Linked DNA regions of Oreochromis niloticus. The protein of the gene in region 2 purifies or fractionates together with the protein of the main gene of each other region. This does not show direct contact. Links are inferred from orthologs where the notes say so. Each region holds a gene or a part of one and is shown on either strand. Other genes may lie near its edges. The genes, in order: arcn1b, cope and copz1.

Evidence for each region.
Region 1: the proteins of cope (region 2) and arcn1b purify together in Homo sapiens (affinity purification with mass spectrometry; 4 studies listed by BioGRID and IntAct, with this or other methods). This does not show direct contact. The link is inferred for Oreochromis niloticus from reciprocal best matches to the Homo sapiens genes COPE and ARCN1.
Region 3: the proteins of cope (region 2) and copz1 purify together in Homo sapiens (affinity purification with mass spectrometry; 3 studies listed by BioGRID and IntAct, with this or other methods). This does not show direct contact. The link is inferred for Oreochromis niloticus from reciprocal best matches to the Homo sapiens genes COPE and COPZ1.

What each region holds. Positions count from the first base shown.
Region 1 is NC_031979.2:1,082,604-1,090,574, forward strand, and holds the start of arcn1b (archain 1b), read right to left. Parts: upstream 3,075-7,971; 5' UTR 2,673-3,074; coding exon 2,670-2,672; intron 722-2,669; coding exon 458-721; intron 1-457. Other genes in the region: porphobilinogen deaminase, read left to right, coding at 6,738-6,767, 6,922-6,975, 7,221-7,293. UniProt on the Homo sapiens protein: Component of the coatomer, a cytosolic protein complex that binds to dilysine motifs and reversibly associates with Golgi non-clathrin-coated vesicles, which further mediate biosynthetic protein transport from the ER, via the Golgi up to the trans Golgi network.
Region 2 is NC_031986.2:44,406,978-44,414,390, reverse strand, and holds the start of cope (coatomer subunit epsilon), read right to left. Parts: upstream 3,029-7,413; 5' UTR 2,970-3,028; coding exon 2,868-2,969; intron 2,717-2,867; coding exon 2,654-2,716; intron 2,559-2,653; coding exon 2,458-2,558; intron 882-2,457; coding exon 729-881; intron 216-728; coding exon 162-215; intron 1-161. UniProt on the Homo sapiens protein: The coatomer is a cytosolic protein complex that binds to dilysine motifs and reversibly associates with Golgi non-clathrin-coated vesicles, which further mediate biosynthetic protein transport from the ER, via the Golgi up to the trans Golgi network.
Region 3 is NC_031984.2:19,116,362-19,123,797, reverse strand, and holds the start of copz1 (coatomer subunit zeta-1), read left to right. Parts: upstream 1-4,415; 5' UTR 4,416-4,553; coding exon 4,554-4,571; intron 4,572-5,038; coding exon 5,039-5,107; intron 5,108-6,620; coding exon 6,621-6,702; intron 6,703-6,789; coding exon 6,790-6,881; intron 6,882-7,436. UniProt on the Homo sapiens protein: The coatomer is a cytosolic protein complex that binds to dilysine motifs and reversibly associates with Golgi non-clathrin-coated vesicles, which further mediate biosynthetic protein transport from the ER, via the Golgi up to the trans Golgi network.

The DNA.
Region 1 (7,971 bases), on a different chromosome or scaffold from region 2:
TCAGATATGGTAAAGCAAACTACCTACTTTCTTTTCAGCGGCCACCAGGGGGTGTCTCCAGGTAAACACTTAGCTGGTGAGTTTATGGGCTCGGTGACTAATTTCAGGCCATAATGAATAAACTATTGAGCCCATTTTGTAAATATGAGTTATTTTGGGTGTGAGCAGGATTACCAAGGGTATGCTCATCGGCTAATGTTTGTGATTTACATGCTGCTAGCTAATGATCTTTTTACAGTGAGATCACCCCTTGTTCATCACAGCTGGTTTCACAGAAGCTACATCCATCATTTACACATACTGTAATGTTCAGAACGTACAGGTTTTTACAGTAACACGTCTCTACATTTATTCTTCTTTGTTACCAGACCGGTCACCTCATCGGGATGTCAGACAACACATACATAAATGCTCTTTGCAAACTGACTTCTATCCAAACCTGCCTGTGTGTGCTTACCACACGGGAAAAGAGTCTGAGTGTCTCCAGGTCCTCCAGGATGTTGCTGTTCTTGGTGGTGATAAGGACCATGTAGAGCTTCTCCAGTGGCTGGTACACATAGCGAACGCTGTCTGTTTCCACAAAGGTGTGCTGCTTGCCCGTGTTCATCAGTTTAGGAAATGCAGCTAGGAGACCCTCAATTCGTGTCCGGGTCATTTCCACAAACTGCCGCGATACGATGGCCTTGCCGGCCTTGGTGCACACCGCCGCTGCCAACAGCACCTGAGGGGTAAAGAGGAATTTGACTGCTTTAGTTTCCCACAGACCTGAACTATTACAACTAAAGATGCACTAATCGGACCAACATCTATGCTCATAACAACAACAGGAAGGTCAGCGAATGTCAAAATTCAATATTTTTTTTTTAATGTAAAATTTTCTTTTCTATTCCAAAGAAACAAGAAAAAAACAAAACAACCAAAAAACAGATCTTCATCACACTTGCTGAGGATTCATTCATCAGCAGGAAATCTACAACATAGGTACACTGTGACTGCAAACTACTTGGAAACCCTACATCTTAACCTGACGTGCTCCTGTCTAAAAATGCAACAACACGTTACGTTGACACAACCAGAAACAACTGTGATTGTTCAATACCACTGATCCTTCCTGTGAATTTGTGCTACTTTTTGCTGTAGTCTTTGATTTAGAGAATATCAATCATCATCTACATATAAGGAATAATAATCATAGTAAATAAGAACACACATTTCACCAAATTACAGGAGGAAGATTGATGAAACTATCAGAGTGAACACGAGGAAATGTACAAAGAAGTGGAAAACCACATTGAGGAGTGGAGACTCAGGAGCAAAAAGTCTTATTTGTTTTCGTCATAGCTGACACCACATATAAAACCCAAGAAACGAGCACAATGTAATTAACACATAATGCACCAGCACACAAATGCTGATAACAGTGGCCACTTACATAGGTTACATCGTTGGCTCTTCAAAGATCCACTGTAGAAGTCTAAGTCAGCCATTATCCAATGCTAACCTGATGTGGCCTACACTCAGTTAGGTCAATATCAGCTGATTCTGATACTTAGCCGATACAGTGAAGTCAGAAAAACCAGACAAGAGTACTTGTCATTTGATATATTGGTGCTCTCCTGATTACACACGGCTGTAGTTGTTTGAGGACGTTACTAAAAGCACATGAACTAACTGCTGTTTGCCTTTCTCTTAGGTGAGCGAATCTTACAAGTCCAGCTTCTTCAGGTTTCACTTTAAGGGGCTGGGACAGTTAAAAGCCTTGAACAAATCTCAACAATCTTCATCTTTTACCTATAAAGCGAGCAATTCACTCCAAATGTACTCACACCCTTCAAAGCCTCCTACCAGTTTCAGACTTGGTGCAAGAAGACAGTATGAGAGAAGATACGCCATGTATGTTGAATGTGGGAACCAGAAAGTTAGGTTTTGGTTAGAATACACGTTTTGCTTGGAATGAAGCAAAACTATGCTAAAGCTCACAGATACTTTGAGCTGGTCCTTGGTAAGGCCAACGACAGCTAGTGCAGATGTTAGCACAATGGAAAATGATCTTATAAAAGAATCGGGGGTCGTTTAATATAATGAGTATAACAATGGTTGACATAAACGGACGCTTTATGTGGCTGTGCTAAATGAATGAAGGAACTGCACTGATTCCACGTTGACAATAGAAATGGAAGACCCGATCGCACCGATGTGAACTCGATAAAGACGAGCAGCAACTTTGGTTATCGAAGTCGTCGACACTAGCTAACTATAATAACACAGTTGTACCTATAGTTGGGGTTTGTCGCAGAGCCGGGCTCGGTTTAACCTGGCTTATTACAGTCTGACAGCAGGCAGTGGTTGCACGGATCCGGCTACTGACAGGAGACAACTAGCGCTAGCCTCCAAAGCTAGTTCACGTCAGCACGGACTGCACAGCTAAAGCGCTTCACTCCGGTGAAATTCGACTTTGACGACTCATTTACTCGATTTTAGCACCTGAACATGTCGCTAACACTGTGGCTCCGATAAAAAAAGAACCGTTTATTATTTGTCTTCTTTCGTTCATGAAAGGGAAGAAGCTAGTTTTCTCATACCTAGCTTTAGCTACTAGCCAATGTTATGATAGTTGCTAGGCCCGATAAAAGGCAGGGAAATAATGGTCACTTTCGACTGTCACTCACCATTGTGGTCTCTCTCTACGGCACGACGGTCGTCAGTCTCTCGCGTTTCTTGCTTTGGTGATTCCTCGTCCCTCTGGAATGGCAAGGTGCGAATATACAGCTGACTTCTAGTTGTGTGATTGTTAGCTAGTTAGCGTCAATATGGCAGCAGCACAGAGCCACGTCTCCACCGGAAGAGCCGCGCTGGATCAGCCCACCGTGGAAACCAATGACGTGGGCCCCAAAATGTTGGCCTTGTTGCATAAAGAAGTTACTCAGATTACTTCCACCGGCGTTTCTTTCTTCTTTAGACTTCTGTGCGGTACTGACCACAAATTACCTTCACGCGATTACTTTTAACGTTTATCAGCGTATCAATAACCTGGCAAACACATAAATATTATCCAGAGAGATTGTCAGAGTAGTTCTGAGTGATAGCATTTCACGTCTGAGGGGACTGGTCTCCGGGATGAAAACGCCTTCACCCACAGAGCACACGGGGGGGTCGTATAAAAAAAGAATTATATGCTACAGTCCTCATAGTGCAGGCAGTGCTCTCCACCATCATCGTCAAAAACACCAAATTCATCCCATCTAATGCAACATATGATACAATTAGGCTTTTCTCTTTGTTGTCCTTAATTTCTTTATGTTACATTTTAAAACTTAATTGTAAACATAAATATTCTCATTGGGCATTTATCACATGACGGGGGGTGGAGGTGGGGTGGGCACCGAACTACCGATAAGTAAGCTGTCAAGCATGTGAGAAATGTACTAACATGTTGCAGATATATTATGGAATTTATTTTTTTCTTTTAAGTTTAAGTTCCAAACATGTTGAATTCTGTTTTTTTTTTCTATTATTATCATTAAAGAAAGAAAAGTAAACATTTACTCCAACAATCCATTCTTCTGCTTATCCAGTTCCACGACTGGCTGGAACTTATTCCAGCTATGATGGGTTAGGGTACCCTGCACCCTGGATATGTCTGTCACAGGGCTAACACACACACAGACAGACAACGTTCACACATACAATCAATTTCCAACTTCCTGTTTTGTTGTACTATCGTAGTAGGTGTGACTGTGCATGGACAATAAAGAGTTATCCAATTAAACTTTGGGCTGTGGGATTAATGGCCAGACAGAAGATTAGTTACTGGAGATAATTATTAAATTGTTAAAGATATAGAAGAAGAAAATTGCCTTGCACTAGCATGTTTTATTTGGCTAATATTAACATAATAATATTCACTTATATTTGACATTAATTAGTATGTTAATATTTTGATCATTTAGTTAAAAATATACAGACTTCTTTATTTGCATCGGTGGAGGAGTGCAGTATGAAATATTTTAGTTTATGGAAAATAATGGGTTTGATAGCTTATAGACGAGGTGCAACATTTTAAGCAGACAGTTTGAGCAGACAGCATTTTTTATTTAATTTAAATGCACGTGTAAGCAAGATGCTGGTGGCAGCAACACTTTTAGATATTCAGAAAGTTCTTAGGGACATAAATCCAACATTCATATGGGAATACTGTTTATATGTTTGTCATGACCTGCTCTACCGCCTGTGGCTCAGGCGGTAGAGCAGGTCCTCTACTAGTCAGAAGGTTGGTAGTTTGATCCTTGGCTGCTCCTTTCTCCTGTCTGCATACTTGAGTATCCTTGGGCAGGATACTGTTGTCTGATTGCGTCACTGGAGTGTGAACACATCGATACGTCTTTCACCCAGGGGGAGAGGAAAAAATTGTTCTCATTTTAGACCCCTAGCACGAAAAACTACACACATCACAGTGTTGCAGTAACTTATTTTGGTCACTAGGTGTCACCATTTAAACAAAGGGAAGAGGAACACGCGCGATCCTGTATTTATCGGACTGCGTTGATTTTTTTAATCAACAGATATCTCACTGTTCCATTAAATTATACAGTAACAATGTAAGAATATGAGTGTAATTTATTTACTCCCAGTCCTACCTCCGACATTATGTTTTCACGGACTCACTGGATAAGCCTACAGGTGTGTGGTAGTTGGCATACAAGTCCAAAGTTGACAGACAGGTTTTGTTTCTTATGGCCACGTCGTCAGATCACAAAAACATGACACAAGACGACAACTTTTAAAGTAATCATTCTAATACTACTGGCCGATATTTAGCAGCCGGAAGTCAATTATTGCGCTTTCCCTTCTTAAACAATAATAATTTTGTTTCTTTTAAACTTCCAGCATATTCACACTTGAAGTCGTGGATGTGAACACCCACGCCCGCAGAAGCAGAAAGGACAGGCGGGACCAGGAAATGACCTCTAGCCGGTCCGATGACATCATAGCCACCACGCTCATTCATACGCGGAGCTGTTTGAGACGAGTGCTCGAAGTTCATCCAGGAGTTTAGCTGTTTCTAATAGTCTCTGTGTCCAGAAAACACGCTGCTGATTCGTGCAACACCAGCAGAGTAAACCGAATCACCGACATGTCGGAAGAAGCTAGTTCTCAGGTTGGTTTTCTTCACTGTTCAGTCAGATCTTCCCGGTGGACATGCTGCTCATTCAGCGCTCACCCATTGTGTGTACGTTTCGTCATCACGTAGGGCTCGTTGATTGGCTGACATTTGTGCTTGTCTGCGGATTGTGCTCTCTATTGGACAGGGGGCGGTGTCAAACGTGACAGATAGTAGCTGTAAAAAGCTAGATGCTTTAGTTTGATTTGGGAACGTTAAGGTCAGCATTGGATAAAAGCAGGCCGCCAAACAGAGTGCTGACTGACCGCTGACACTTAAACACTGAACGCTAACCTTACAGGCTGGGTGCTTGTTCATTTGCTAACGCTACAGTTCAGTGTGTTAGCTAATGACACCGAAAAACCCCACCGCCACTGTTTTCCCCTCTCAGAGTGAAGTAACTCACAGACACTGAGTTCACCTAAGCTAGCTGTTTAGCTTTTATATTCTCCCCTCATGAAATGCGCAGTACGGATTTTGCTCCCGCCTCGGAGTTACGTTGATAAATGTGTTAAACTTGGAGGTGAACGCATTGAAAAGTTCAGCATTTTATTAAAATGACAGTTAGCTATTCTTTGTCACTGGTGCCGAATGGATGTTTGCCACCTGCTAACCTCGGCTACACTATAACAGGTATGTTTATAAAGGCGCTGAGTAAATACATGTCAGATGAATCGATTTTTGAATGCAGTTTTCGGACAGACGGCTGAAAACCCAGTCTTTGTTTTACCCTTCGTAATGCCCAGGGTTATGTCTGAGACATGCACGGGTCAGGTGAAAAATAAATGAGTAAAAAGAAAGAAAATGTCACAAATAATTCAGATTTAATAGTAAGAATAATAGTTTTAATGATGTAATCTGCATGTAGCGTGTACAAAAATTAGTGAATTATCAGCTATTTTAATTAATAATTAAAAACCTGTATAATAAGTCATCCAGTCAAAAGAAAACCAGTCAAATCAAAAATCTGGTGTGCTGGTGCTACTGAAGATTATCATTTATTTTTATTAAACAGTATTTTTAGTTTTAAACAGCATATTAGCAAATACAGAATACTCCCACTCAAGTAAGTATTACTTTGTTTTACCCAGCCACTGCTATTAAACTGTAGGCCAAGTCTGACCAGGATCACAACGAAATAAAGACTTCCAGTGACGTGTTTAAGCTCAGTTTTTACTCTGACCAGTGTTTGCATCTGTGCATTTATTACAGCCTCTGATTAAAAACAGCCAGCAGTGTTATCTGGATATTTCTGTAACTGTGGTTGTGGCCTGTGTTTGAAGGGTAACGTTTCCACTCACACTCTTCCCTGTGACCACACCTTGTAACCAAGACCCTCCTAAACTGCCTTTTGTAACGGACTCATTGAAAAGACACACTTATCTGTGGGAACCAGAGATACGTGGGGTGGAGGTCCTTAGTGGGGGAGGAGTCAGCTGGGTCCAATAAGAAAGGACACTGTTTAGTATCAAGAGGCTATATGACCTCAGCAAAGCTCCTTACCAGGACGCAGCAGTCAGTCCCAGACACACAGTGCACACAATAGCCTCTACAGTGCAGAAGCTCAGTGTGGACCATGGAGGAAGGACCTTACAAGTACATCAGGGTGAGGCCAGCAGAGAGGGATCATTCATTCGTATTTTAAGTCAGAAAGTGTAACTGTGTTGTGCTGATTGAACATATCAGGAATACATCTTGGAAGTGGGAGAGAGTGAGTGTTTGTAGAATCTTGTGGCTGATCTGGTTTTATGTTCCGGCAGGATGGAAACGGCAAAGTTAGCCGAGTCATTCGAGTGGGAACCCGCAAGAGCCAGGTGAGTATTACATTATTATCCAATCAGGAGCTTTAAATTCAGGCAGGTTTGACTCTAATGTAAAGCTGAACTTACAGATCCCCGACTGTCGGTTGTGAATTATCTGATTTGAAAACCGTCTGGAGCTCCACAGAGATAAAACTGACGAGTGTGTTTTTATGATAACTGTCTGTCCTCCGGTCTGCTCTACTGATTTAATAAGTGTGAAAGGACACAGAATGCAATGAGTTGATCTTCTGTTGCAGCTGGCTCGCATCCAGACGGACAGCGTGGCCGAAAAGTTGAAAGAGCTGTACCCTGACATCCACTTAGAAATCGGTAAGAAGGCAGCCCCTCTGTCTGTACAGCGTTTGTAGCTCTGTCTCCATGTTTCTATTCCTGATCAGAGTGCAGAGTGAGTGGATTATTCACATGTTCTTACAGCTTAGGTCTTAAAATTGAGTCAGAATCTGTCCACGCTGTCACTCCATCCTCACTGCACTGAACACACTGAAGTTTGTGTGTTTGTTCAAAGCAGCTGGTGACCTCGTGTGTTTCCAGAAAAACTTCACTGAACCTGAATGTGAGCAACAGTCTGGTTAGACTGTTGCTGCGCCTCTTAGCCACAGTGTGGAAACGAGATGGAAACTAAAAACCAGGAATTATTTTAAAAAATAAATCCGTCATATTACATAGAACAAACAGTGATTTTGAATATATCGTCCTATTAAAAGGCGGCGTGCACTGATAGTGATTGTGATTGGCCCAGAATATCACCATGTTTAAAATGCCAGTTTTATTCCTCTTTTTTAATTCTGATTAAAATAAAAAGGAATAAAGAGGAATTGTAACTTTTCAGAAAGCAATAACTGAAATGTAAAAAAGTATTTCAGTGTTTGCTGACCGTCAGCCCACTTTCATGTTCAGTACTTCCTCCTGGGTTTTTTGGTTTTTCTGGAGACTGAACCAACACAAAACGGATGCAGCAGCGTTTATACGCTGATTTGAGTCAGCACG
Region 2 (7,413 bases):
ATCAAAAAGAAAAAAAAAAAAATTACAAGAAAGCTGGTTGAAGATTTTTGCACAGAACTGTAGATGTGCGCTTCCAAAAGCTGATCAACCACTTGTAGTGCAAATTCTCTAATATCATGTTTAATTTTCTCTTCGATGAAAAAAACCAAGTAATGTCATACCTCGCCAGGTCAACACGATCCAAGCTCAGGAGCACCTGAATGGTCATGGCCATACTGATGGAAAAAAAGAACAACAAGGGTGAGGCTTGGTCAGTTTCATGCAGCGCTCTTTAAACTGCAGGGAGTGAAGATCCCACTGCATAGAATACAGATGACACAGGACACATTTCAACACCAGATTTCCCAAAAACAAATTACGAGGGCTCAAAGTTACAGAGTTCACAGATTGTAAACAGCCCAGAAATGATCTGTGATATTTATAAAAATGTCAAACATAATACATGATTGATGACGTCTATATGCAAATGTAGTTCATCTTCATCTTCTTCATATTAGCCGTGTAGGCGCATTTGTCAAAGCAGCACAGTGAGTCCAGAAGCAGTAATCATGCAAAATGAGCTCAGATGACTGAGCATCTCCATCAAATATTGGTTATGAATAAAAATGAAAGTTAAAATTTAAACTGTTCTTGTTTTCGTGGTGATTATTAGTAAAATATGGTGAAAAATGTTTGGAGCGGATCATAAATCAAACCTTGTTAAGCTAAAAATTTCACTCCCTTCTTACCACTCGAGGCTTTCTCCTTGGTGCAGAGTCCTGATGGCAGCATCAGTATTCATCTCGTGGTAATAGATGGAGGCAGCCATGAGTAGGAAGGTGGTGTTGGCAGCATCCACACTCTTTGCCATCTTTTTGTCCAAATCGGCAACGATTACGTCCCTGAACAAAAACAAAGCCTCATTAAAAGCTGTGAAGAAAAAACAACGACCATCTAAAGATTAAGCTGTTTCAAATACACTCTGTCTTCTTTATTCAAATTTGTATATGGACACCTTATTAAATTCTGTCAGGTTTGTTAAGCAGTTAAAAATGAATAAAAACAAAGCAAACGTAACATCACAAAACACAATTTCCACTGAGAACAGGAAACACAGTCTGTGACTATATTAGAGTGAAACAAAAGATCTACAAGACCTACCATCAATATATTATCTATACAATCTGTTAACCACAGAGGAACTGAATTATGTATTGTATCGTTTGTGTATTATTAACGCAACACTTATTTGGGACACACAGGACATTATTCAATCCCTTGAGTTTGGAGTGACGTGCCAACAGATATAAGACCCGTTGGTGTTCATCAGGCCTGTATCAAGAATGAATGAAAACCTGAGACCCTCAAACACTTAAGAAGTCTCTGCTGAACGCAAATCTCTGCATTTTAAAAGTAATCGCACATCAAATTCTTCTTCTTTCAGCTGCTCCTTTGGGGGTTGCGAGGTCAATTAACTGCCCCATCACACCAACCCTCTGCACAGCGTTTCTCAGAGATCTTCCTCCTACCATATTATCAACATCCTTTGTCCAGCATATCCACTCTCCTCCTCCTCTTCTCTGCGCATGCAGACCATTTCTGCTTTGCCTCTTTAACTTTGTCTTTGTCAAAGTTAGAAGCCTGAGCCGTCTGATGTACTCATTTTTACAGAGAGAAATATGCACATCTTCGTTCTGCCTCCAGCTCCATCATTTCAACATCATACATCAGAGCAGGTCACTGCCAACTTATAAACCTTCCCTTTCAAGCTTGCTGCCATTCTTCTGTCACAAATTGCCCCTAACACTCATATCTACCCACTCTGTCCATTGCCTTGGATGATAGTCCCAGGTAATGACCTTTACTACCTCTCCTCCTTGTATTTTCACTCTTACACAGACATGCATTTGTCTCTTTTTTTCTGTTGACATGCATTCCTCTTTTCTCCGGCGCGCGCACACACACACACACACACACACACACACACACACACCTCCACCTCTCTTCCACCCATTTTCTCCTCTCACTACAGTTCAGAACGTTGTCTGCAATCCTCAGAGTCCACAGAGACTCCTGTCTTACCTCATCCGACAGCCTGTCCATCACCAGCACAAACAAAAAGGCGCTCAGAGCCAGACCCTGATGTAATTCCACCTCCACCTTGAAACCACCTCTCACTCCTCCCACACCCCTCACAACAGTCTCGCTGTCATCATACACCACCCTCAAATAAACTCTTGACACCCTCACACAGCATCGCAGTTCCTCTCTTGGCAACCTTGAATCTGCTTTCCACAGAGCCACAAAGAACAGCACATATCGAACTACTAGTGTGAATTTTAGCCTCCTATTGATACAGACTGGAAAACTACTGTGACAACTAGTATTAACTACAGAAAAAGAATACGTTTTATCCATATCGCCAAGTCCTATGTCCCTCCCATGGTGGACTAGTGTAAGTGGATGTAAAAATGGTACCTTTTGCTCTCACTCGACAAATACTCTGCAAACATCTTCACAGCCTGCAGCTCGGGGGGAGAGTTGGCCTTGATGTCATCCAGGACAACAGCATACTTTCTCTGCAATAACACAGAAAGGACGAGGACAGGTCTCACCTACACTCCGTGTGACAGCGGTGGGAGCGCAGTAACAGAGCTCTGATTGAGACACTCACCTGAGCAATGTACGCTCTATACAAAAACATGTCCCTCTCGATCTCCTTTTCTGGTGACGACGGCTTCAAAGGCAAAACACAGGCAGCATTTCAGCACCGAATTAAGTGAGAGAAATTTGAGCTAACACATTTAGCACTGCTGGCTCACACAGAGCCGCGGGGACACAGACAGCTTCGTTTAGACACATTCAGCTGTTAACTGTTTGTCACCTACCTTCACTTTCTGCGCCTCATTGATGCACTGCTGATAGCTGCCGATGTAATATGCATTTTTCACATCGAACAGCTCATCAACATCTCCCTGCTGCGCCGCCATGTTGACTACAGAACTTCCTGGACACGTAGCACATATACGTCACCTTCTTACGTTTTGCCCAGGATTCTGGGAGATGGAGTTCAACTCTGAGGGAGAGCATAGATTGATGGTATATCTCTGTGGTACATGCTGAAAAATTTTTGTATTTAGTCAACTCTTTTGTTAATGCTCTGTTTTTTTTCACATTTCTACTGTAAGGCACTTTGTGATCGTCACTTTCTTACTTTGTTACAAGTAGTACCCATTTATAGCATAGACGAGCCCTTCCAGCTCTGCTCTCTTCTATCGTCTCTGTTGTCTTACTTCTCTCTTTCACCTTTTTTTATCCCTTTGAAGAAGTGAGGCTTCATAGATATTAAAGAGGTAAGTATTACTTCTCAGTTGCAGTGAATTGATAGAAGAAAATAAACTGTAGAAAACTAAACAGAAGAAAGTAGAAGAGAAATAACAATTTAACATAAACCAGTGACACTCTCAGGGGCCTGATCAACCCTGGCAGGGCCTCCTTAGATGAGGGTGTCTAGTGATAATGAATGAAACACCCGATGAATCCAAGGTCCACTACTGACGATGTGTCCCAAATTTTAATATGATAATCAGATCTCTAATCCCTAAACCTAACCAAGGAAGGTTAAAAATGGCAGATTAGCTTGGGTAAAAGACCAAAACACCCTGTGAAGCTGAGGCACACAACGACGTATCCCGCTGGTGAAGTTTCTGGGCTGCCTTTCCTCATAACCGCCATCCCTCAAGACTTTCTCCATTTGAAGCAATGCATTATCAGGGATTGTAACATCTAGTCCTTTTACTGTACCCATTTATATGCGCCTTTACTTATTTTAATGTGATTTATTCTTGTGCATTTAGACCAAAGTGAATATTCTGCTTTAGTTCTCCTTGACTTATCTGCAGCCTCTGACACCAGTAATCATGGAAGGGGGTTGGTATTTCTGGTTCAAATGGTTCTCATCATACTTATCTGTGTGTCCTCATCAGCCCCCCTCACACGCGGGGTTCCTCAGGGCTCAATCCTTGGTGCAGTTTTCTTTCCTTTATATACCCCTGCGCATTCTGCTAAACAGCTTAAAAGGCACTTCCTAGAATTTCTTTGCTGATGACACACAGCTGTATTTTTTCTGTCAAGACAAACAACCTCTCCTTCCTCAGTGAATGCTCGGCTGTGATTAAAAACTTCCTCCATCTCAGTTGTTTCTAAAACTGACGGTTTTATTTGGTTTGGGCCTGAAGACGTCTCTAAGCAGGTCAGTTATTACACCATCCTGCTCTCAGGCAATATCACATCATGTATTAAGGACTTTGGTATTATTTATAAACAGCAAGTTTGAATCTCAGAGCTCAGCCAGTTTTGTTTCTTTCATTTAAGAAACATCTCAAAAATCAAACCTTCACTGAAACCCAACAGTTTTTTGAGTACACACTTGCATTATCTGCTCGCACGCCTCCCTAGACTGTCTTCATGGTCCAGAGCGCAGCAGTGAGGCACCTTACATGAAGTAACAGGTGCTCACACATCACCCCTATTCTTGCTTCCTGCCTCAGTTTCCAGTGATTTTCAGAATTCATTTAAAGATTTTTGGAATAACATATACAGCCCTACATAGCCAGGCTCCTGTCTACATAAGAGACCCGCTGAGACCTTACAACAGCAGTCAGCCTCTCAAGTCTTCTGATCAGGGTCCTTTAACTGTTTCATGCACCTATATTAAATCCAGAGGGAATCACTTTTAAAGTAATAACTCCTAAGCTTTGGAAGAGGACATCAGGCCAGCTGAGTCAGTGGTTTGTTTTAAATGACTGCTGAAGAGTCATTTTTATAGGTTAGCATTAGCCCTTGTTCTTCTAATGTGCATATCTCACTGTGTGTTTCCATGTTTAAATATGAACACTTATCACTAATGTGTGATTTTATCCAAACTGTTAAGCACTTTGTAAATGTGTGTTTTAGAAAGTGCTATACAAATACTCATTCTTCTGCTTATAATTATTACTTATTATAAATGGACATCAGTATTCTTTTAAAACCCTGCTGTACAACAGCATGTAAGCTGAAGGCTGTGTAAAAATGGAGAACACACAGCCCCAACTATATGGATTACAGACTACCTGACAGTCTGTGAGATTGGGCAGTGCTCTGCCTGGTTAGGTGATGTGCAGGGCCCCACAGGGGATCGTGCTTTCTCCATTCCTGTTCACCTCGTACACCTCAGATTGTCAGTACAACTCCGGGTCACGGCACCTACAGAAATACTCTGATGACTCTGCAGGAGTTGGATGTATTGTATTTTAGTGATGAGCAAGCAACAGAACACAAGTGGACGATTTTGCTGAATTGTCTGGGAGGAATCACCTGCTTCTGGAAGTAAATAAGAGCGGAGAGATGACGATTGACTTCATGACCCGTGTCTATCCTGGGACAGGATGGTGATGAGTTGCAGGGAGTACAGGCACCTACGCATCCACACTGGCAATAGGCTGAACTGGAAGACCAACACAGATGCTGTACACAAGAAAGATATGAGCATGGCCTATCGCCTAAGGAAGCTGAGATGCTTGAATGTGTGCAGCAAAATGATGCAGATTTAGTGTCCTTTGTCTGCTAGGACAGCAGCATCAACCTGGACTCTTTTCAGGATCCTTCTATCACAGATAATCCCGACCACTCTCTGCACCACTTACTACTAATGGAAGAAAAACAGCACACAATTTACTTTGTGTGCATTTCTGCAGAGGTCTTCAGCTTACAGAGTAATTTCTCACATTATACCACAAGAGGACGCTCCAGATCAATCTCACCACTACAACTGTTCCATTTTTTCTCATTGTGACAGACTTATCCCATAGAAGCACAAATCTTACAGTAAATGAGATTATACAAAAATGTTCTTGTAGCTCAGTAAGATAACACCTCAATAATCACACCTGGCTGTCAAAAAAAAGGTTTTCCTGAGCATAGCACTGCAAGTGCAAGAGTATCAGGCCTACATCATATATATAAAATAAACTATTGTCTTAACATAACAATCCAAAAAGGATATGACCTTGGGAATTTCTGTATCCTCATTAGACAGACGGGGAAACACTTCCCCTGTCCTGAAAACATCCGCTGATAGTTTCCCCCCTCTCTCACATCAGGATCATTGGCCCGACATCATGCTCTCAGCACAGTTTTGCACATTTGTCTGCAAAAACTGTCACCAGAAGCACCAAAGCAGGCTGCGTTTATGTAAAAAAGACACATTATAGACTATTTATTATTTTGACCCTGATAGAAAAGCTGCTCCCCACAGTTCCTGCTCATTGTTCCCTTAACACCGTTTCCTCTGGGAAATTTTCAGCCTTGGGACTGGGAACTGGACGAGGATAATTACTGGAAGCCCTGCACGGGGGCAGGGACTGTGCTGGCTGTAAATGGCCCTTTTCTTTCGGCCTGATTGGGCTTGGACCACTCCCCCTCGTTGCTCCTCCATTGGTCCGAGCCCACATCAATCTGGTGATTTCCAAGTGCCTCTCAAGTTTGAAACTTTTTTTTACGAGTGGGAGGACTCGAGTTACAACAAACTGTGGTAACTGATCGCGCAGCAGCCGAGGGAAGAAAACACGCGTTCAATAATTTACACATCTGTGCCGAGTCCACGGTTACAGAACAAAAACTGAATTAAACAGCAGCGAGGACGGGACGTTTCACAGCCCACACGCAGCAAAACAAGTGGAAGAAAACCTAAATATGCTGTGAAGTGACTTTATCGCCTCTGCCAGGATGAAGACTTGAGACATTTCGCTCACAGTACTAACTTGCTGTCATCTGGCTGGCTGACCGCTCCTGTGTCCCCGTGAAGCTGAGAGTAAGGTGAGTCCCACCTCAACGGTCGAGCAGTTTTTAAACATCCCAGCGCTCAGCGGCCTGTGGTTAAACCAGCTCCCCCCTCCACTCCTCCTCGGACAAACACGGACTTGATGAGAGCTGTTTTGTTTTCTGCGTTTCTTTACGTGTTTGACAGCCTCCATGTTTGGCTCGAGCTCAGCGGAAGTAACGGCCAATCAGTTCGTGCGTGATTGGGATACTTTAAATAGCGTTTGATAAGAGATTTAGCGGCTAACGGACTGTTTCCGAAGTGAAATAGAGTTGCACGGGTTGTTGGTTTAATAAGATGTGGACACGGTGCGAGAAATGAAAGATAAACAGAGTTTGTGCTTCACCATGTGGATGATCATTAGGATTATGTGTCTGCGTTTATTAGTCATTGATTGGTAATGAGAAAGCACCGCTGAAGCTCTGACTGTGGGGGTGGTGTGTTATACCAGCCGCCCATGTTTCAGACCTTTGTGGGGCTTTAAACCATGTTTGCTGGATTTAATGGGAAGACATTAACATTTATTAGTAACCATATAGTACACACTTTAGTGGGACTGTGCAAAAGTCCTG
Region 3 (7,436 bases), on a different chromosome or scaffold from region 2:
TTAGATTCATTCGTTCATCGATGGCACCAAACCATTTGAAGCTGTTATTTCAGCTTCTGTGTCAGACGCATATGTTAATACTTTGTATAGGATTCAAGTATTTGTTAAAGCAAGCAGAAGTAAACACGTGCTTGGAGAACTGCTCGCAGAATTTCTCAGAAATGTGAATCTGAAAACAGATGTCACAATCATTTCTTTCCTCGAATTGTAGTCGCTGAATTAACTTGTTAAACAGAAAGCGGGAAAACACACACACACACGCGCACACGCACGTCTATCATCGTACTAAAGATTTGAAATGAAAATGAAAATTTTACACATCTGCACAAACATTCAGACAAAAGTTGTAAATGTGATGATAACTAAGTTTGAGTTATTTAACGTAACATTAAATATACATTGATGGGCTACAGTTACAAATTTCATTCAGCTGTACATTCACAAGCTTTGGGAACGTGGATGGTTTTGTATGGCCCAATATAATATCACATCCCACTGAGACATAAATCACAGTGTTTTCTCTGTCATTGTTCTAAGATGGAAAAACTAGGTGGCTGACTAAGTCAAGAAAGGTGAATGTCTACCAGGAATCAAAGAAGGGACTTCCCAACCCAAGTTCCTAGCACCCAGCCCCTGACTCAACCACTGCCACAGCATGCCAAAGAGCACCCTGTTATTACTGCAACCACAGTGGTTTTGAATCTGGACACAGTTCCCAGGTCAACGCCCACATTCCCTGTTTGTGTTTGTTTGCTTCAATTAGTCTTTGACATCTCTGCTTTCCAGCTTGCCTGAACCTTTCATGGCTGTCAGAGTTTACTTATTGTGTAGCTCAGTGCTCCAAACAACTGTGCTTCAAAAACAGGCCAGAGGTGCTGGCTGGGAACTGCCCACGGTTGAGTCGCTCAGGCTTAGATTTGCTTCATGTGCGTTACGTTTTGTATTGACGCTAATCTGAAATTATTTGTCTGCTGTTCTTTCCGTGGTAATTAAAATGTTCATTAAAAATTAAGGAATTGTGGTATCTTTGGTTTTGTTGTAGTATCCAAAAAGCTTTAGCAAACATGAGTGGGAAAAACCGCCTCATGACCAAAAAAAAGGAAAAAAAAAATGGATGTGTGCAATGGGTTGTGGTATCAAAAGGGGAATATTTTTGGAGTCAGCTTCTGGGAAGGGAAAAAAATAGAGAGGGCAGTTTAAGTTTTTTCTTTTTTTAAATTGATTATGGAAAAAAAAAACTAAAAAGCTAAAAATTACAAAAGGGGTGACATGTATAAGGTAATGTGCGCAGCCGTTAGTGGGAATATGCAGATCGGTATCTGACTGAAAATGCAATCCATCTTATAGCACATTGTTAAACAGGTATCGCTGATACCGACGTGGCAGACAGAATGAAAAAATGTGCACGAAAGTTGAAAGATTAATAATCGTTTTGGAAATTAACTGGAAGTGCAGTGGTCTGTCGTTCACACAGCATCAGTAGCAATGTTTGTCACGATGGTCACACATTACCAGACATAAGAAAGAGAAAATGAGGAACCTGAACATGCAGCATCATTCTTCTGAATGTCTCAATAGTGCCTGTGCTTATCTCAAGATGTTCAGATAAAGATAATGTTTTGCAACAACAGTATTGCGTTTCTTGTTATTTACTGAGAGCCCCTTTTATTTTTGTGCAAGCGTGTTTCTCAAAAAAAGTTGACATGCCCTGTACAGTGTGAACTAACAGTGAATGCAATGAGTTGCAATTTTTGTACACCCTATATTTGACTGAAAACGTTACAAAAACGACATAGTTTCAAGTACTAAACCCGAGATATGTTACTGCTGAAGAATACAAAGCAACGCTTTTCCAAAAATATCTCGACGGGGCCATGTATACAACGGTGTTGCATCACCGGTCTCTTCAAGAAATTCTTCAAGCCCTTGGGAACGGAGGGGATGAATTGCTTTTCTATTCTTACTTCATATATGATTCCATTTGCTCAATTGCTTGGAGCCTCCTTTGTGTTATTCTTTGTTTAATAATACAGTAAGTATTTTATGCGCCATGTATGGACAAGCAGGCCAGTTTAGCAACTGTACTCTTTTACTATGGAGCCATGCTTTTGTAATAGTTGCTGAATGTGATTTGGCATTGTTTTGCTGAAATAAACAAGACGTACCTGAAAAACGGAGCTGCACTGGCAGTATATCTTTCTCCAAAACCTGCATATATCAATTAGCATTAATTGCTTTCACAGAAGTGCAAATGCTGGCTTTTGAACTGTGTGCTGATAACAAGCAGAAAGAACATGGTGCACATTGCTGTTTCTGGATTTTTGTTTGTTTTGTTTTGTTTTTTCTTTGAATGGTAGTATGTTAACTTCCATTTTTGGATGCACAGCAAGCTAACTTTACTGGAAATGTTTTTTCAAAAGTCTCCCCAAGCTCATCCAGTGATATCCACTGCAGAATTTCATTTTTAATATTGGCCTTTCTCTGAGTTTTCTGACTCTTTTATATGATCTCTACCATGGTAGAAGATGAGATATACAAGTTCTTAAACAAAAGAAATTCTCAAACTGTTAAAGCAAATGCCTACTGTGTTGAATCCATCTCCAGTTTTCATCTTAAACACTTAGACTCTCTGGGAGCATCTTCTATGTTGCTTACTTATTACCAATCTGTGTGAGATGTGAGATATTCCACCTGTTTTTAAAAAATAAGCATAAGAGCATTTTTTATTTTTAACTTCTAATATGTTGTCACCAGAGTATTTTAATTCATTATAATGTTTAAATTGGTTGCAATTGTCTTTTTATTTAGGCATCACATTCCTTTGGAAACAGGTTATGTATTCTATTGGCCAATGTGCTCTTGACAATGAAAGTCAAGTCTGGTTGGTAATGCAAACACATATTGGAGGGGGGGGGGTGCAGGGAAAGGAGGATGTTGGTTGGCGGAAGCTCTGTTTTACACCGATAAAAGGAGCACTTGATTCATAGGAAGGGAACTGCTAACTGCTGTGGTTGCTGGCATGTTGTGGTGAGAGGGAAACAGCCCATACTATTAAAATACTTCACTTTTACATAATGCAATGTTATTATTTTCTAGTTTTAATCTTTTAAGTAAAAAAACACTGCTGATAATATTAAAAAAAAATAAGGTAAATACTTGATGAAACTCAAAAAAAGCTCCTGAAGAGAGATTATTAGCTATCAGTTTCCTCACATCATGCTTTTCCAGTGCAGACTTTATTATTTAGGATCTTTTCATGACAGAGTAGTGGTGTACATGTTTAATACCACTTACTTTTTGTAATAATCGATCCAGTTCTTTTTTAGGTAAACCGAATCAATACCATATGCCATCCAGAAAACTTACAGTCATTATATACAGTAGGTATTTTGTTTCTGTTTATTCATTGTATGTGTTGATTCATCATTCAACTTTCAGAAATCAGTCAGCTTTGCCAGTCATCGTCACCACTGTGATGCTTTTTAAACACAAAAAAGAATAAAAATAAGTTTAACTTTGTGATGAGATGGCATGACAATATCAGGCGATATTTTAACCTTTTAGTATGAGCTAGTTCAAGGCAGTATACAGTTTCCTCTCTGGTCAAGGCAATTTTGAAATCGTAGTGGCTAAATTTGTGCAAGCATACTGCAGTGTTGCAACATTTCATAGTTTCCCACAGTCCTCTTGTGAACACGCATAAGAATAGTTGGTATCTCCTCACAATACACGTTCTGCAGTTAAATAATGGCTGGACATTATTTGCTTTCCAGTGATATTTGAAGCCCAAAAATATCCTACAGTAAGGCCAAACAATGATGTAATTTATGGAGTTAGATAGAGGGAAATCCCCATCTGCCTGTGTTTCCAAATGCTTCCCAGAAGTGGGAACTAAGATAATTGGAGTTGGTTAAATGTAGGAGGATACTGAAAAAAGATGTTGATGAGTACGAGCAAGCTAAAATGGCTTGTAAAACGAGAGATTTCTGGTTACCACTAAGTCCTACAAAAACAGCAACCACCTTTAGTCATTAGGTTTAATTACAGTAAGCTCTGCAGGGATGTGAACTCTAAAATAAACATCCTGACTTACACGTGTTTTTTTTAAGAAGTTCATACGAGCTACTAAAGGCATTTACATGTTTGGATTTACGGTTTCAACCACGAATGAATTTAGGTTTTATTGTAAGTCTAATGGGGTTAGTAATCTTCATATTTTACACAGTAACAAGATACAGTCCGAAATTACAGTAATAAAGTTAGTTAATAACTTGTTTAGCTTTACGTTTGGGCCATTAAAAGGTTCAGACTTTCCCGACTTAAAAGGCAAATGTGTTATAACTACAGGCGAGTCTGAAAGTACTTCTTTATTAACCACATCGCTTTTGAGTTTCAGCTCTTTTGTGGCTGCTTGCTCTGCAGTGAACTGATCTTTGCCCTGCACGCACAACATACGGCACTGCGTCAGCCAATAGGAAAGAGACTCATTTACTGTACGTAATACGTAGCCTAATGCTGCTAGCCCGGTAGCTGGTTTGCTAACAGGAAAGAAGATGGATTCTCCCATACTGGTAATGTTAGCCCATTTATTTATTTCTGACGATGTAAAAGCCACGAGCGTTACCTCGTTAGTACTTCACATAAGTATTTACTAGCAAAATGTTTCTCGCAGTTTTGTGTTGTAGAGTCATTTAGAGAGCAGTCGAATAAACTCAATGCTAACTACAGTGAACGGGTTGGCCGTGTTAGCTAAGGAGCTAGCATCTAAAGTTAGCTCGTATGCGTTTGTTGATGATGTGGAACTGTCATGTCTCCTTCACGATTTGGTGATTAAGAAGTCTTTTAAATAACATTTAGACTGATTTTGTGACGCCAGTCGACACCCAATTTATTCAACTTACTTGCACGTCCACCGTCGCCTTTTTGATAGTTCATGTTTATTATTTAACATACGAGTTGCCACATATTTAAAGAATTATTAAGGTGAATTCGTTCCTGTGTAGGATAAAACAATGCCTAACGTGTGCTGTCTTCACAGGAACCTTCCTTATACACGGTGAAAGCTGTTCTCATTCTGGACAACGATGGAGACCGGCTTTACGCCAAGGTATGAATTTCAGACATCTGTGACATCATGTTACTTCGTTATTATTAACGCCGGTGACATGCCAAAAAGTGATCTTCTGCGAAACTGTGAATACTGGACAAAAATCATTGCTGATATTTAAACGCTTGTAAATTAATTATTGGCCTATAATCTGTCAAACTCTTGTGAATGGTATCAAGTCATTTTAAGCCTGAAAGAAAATTGTCGTCACAAGGTAATTTACCTGTGGTCAAAATGTACTATTTTCACTACAGGCTGTTTACCAAAGTAAGCAATGATATTAAACATTAAAAAAACACCGGAAGTCACTGTTTGACACAACAGGTCTCTGGAGCCAGAGCATGTCTGGAGGTGGTCACCCCCTGCCTGAAATATGATTGCTCCCCCACCAATGATATTGGACTACAGTACTGTTAATCTTGCAGTGCCCAATACCGTGGAAGCATGTATAGAAGCAGTAGTAATGTAACATTTACTTGAGTACTTTAGTTTAGGGTTTAAAGTATTTGTACTTAATTTAAGCATTGCTCTATCATGCTACTGCTCTTACGCTAATAAATTTTGGATGCAATTATTAGAATTTCTACCCTTTATTTTTTAAGCTTTAGTTTGTAATTGTTTTGCAGGTTAATTGCATTATTATAGATCAAGTGGTACTGCAATATATAGGTAATTAAAATCAATAGCTTGAACATTAAAGAGATACATATGAATGTCAATGGATCCATAATTATGATCCAGTGGTACAGATATAGTACTGTTAATGATTTTGAAAAGTGCTATTCAACATAATGAATATGCTTACTTTATGTTTTATGAATATATTTTTATTATACAGTTCATGCAGTATAAGCTACTTAATTATTATTATAAGTTTTACTTTATAAAAAGTCTAAATACTTTTTTTCACGTTGCGAAAGGATTATCCAACACAAAGGTATAATTAAAGTTTTGCACAGCACTACTTTATCCATAATAATTATGTTACAGGACACAGGGTTGCACATTAGCCTGAAAGTCACCCAATGTTTTGGGGGGTTTTTTGCCAATTTTCTGCACTAATTTTAATTCTGATTAAATATTCTGAGTTTGTGCAGAGGGGCCCACAGGAACTTGAAGAAAAATCATAGAAACACTCTTGCTCTGAAGTTAATTTTCAGTTAATAAACCTCTTTTTGCCACCCAAAAACCCCCCACCAAAAAAACAAAAACACTCTGCCTGATTCTGTAAATGCTCACATAGCTACATTAAACACAAAATTCAACCCATAACAAATGCTGTATTTTTTCCTGATTAAAAATTATGTGCTCAAACAGCTCCCAGTTACTTTAGAAAAGTGTAAACCTTTAAAATGTGTATGACTCACTATTGTCTCGTTTTCTCATTTTGGGTTGATTGTTTGCAAGAAAATGACATCCTCTACCATCATCTAATAATACAAATGAAAACTAGTGAAAATTATGTAACCTTTAGACTAATATCTAAATATGACTTAATTTCTAATTTCTGCAGTATTATGATGACACATACCCAACAGTGAAGGAGCAGAAGGCATTTGAGAAGAACATATTCAACAAAACACACAGAACAGACAGTAAGCAATCTTTACACTGTTAAAAACAGTTACTTTGCCTCAATACATACCTAATATCGAGCATGGTTGTTTTTTGTGCCTCTTTAGGTGAAATAGCACTACTTGAAGGCCTCACTGTTGTCTACAAGAGCAATATAGACCTCTTCTTTTACGTGATTGGAAGTTCACATGAAAATGAGGTAAGTTTAATTTTAGTTTTTGTAATGAACCCTTTTTAAGTAGGAGTTGAAACTTGCTTATGTTGTGCTGAGGAAAGTGACAGCACATGCCGAATATGGATCCTGCCTCATCATCCAGTCTGTGAGAGCCTGAGAAATGGTGTGAATCACAGTACATGAGCAAGTTTTGACTAGTATTGTTTTGCACTTGGAACATTATAATTGCACTAAACCACATAAGAAGTTTTCACAAGTAAAGTCCAGAAAATGCCAGGTGAGGCCTGTGAAAAAGCTGCCCGTTCTCACACGTGGCAGACAACTGGAAATAAACAGAGTCATTTGGTTCCTCATTACTTGAAACATTTCTAAAACCACGCATGGAAAAAATGTCTTAATTAACAAACAAAAAAAACAGGGGTGGGGGGTGGGGGCTTTTGAAAAACACAGAAACTAACTGAAAAAATTGTGTTTGCTTACAAAGCTAACTAAATTAAACTTAAAAAAGTCATCTTTACTCTTAAAGGTAGTCAAATTTTATTAACATTTATTAACTTATTAATATTGTAATATTAATAA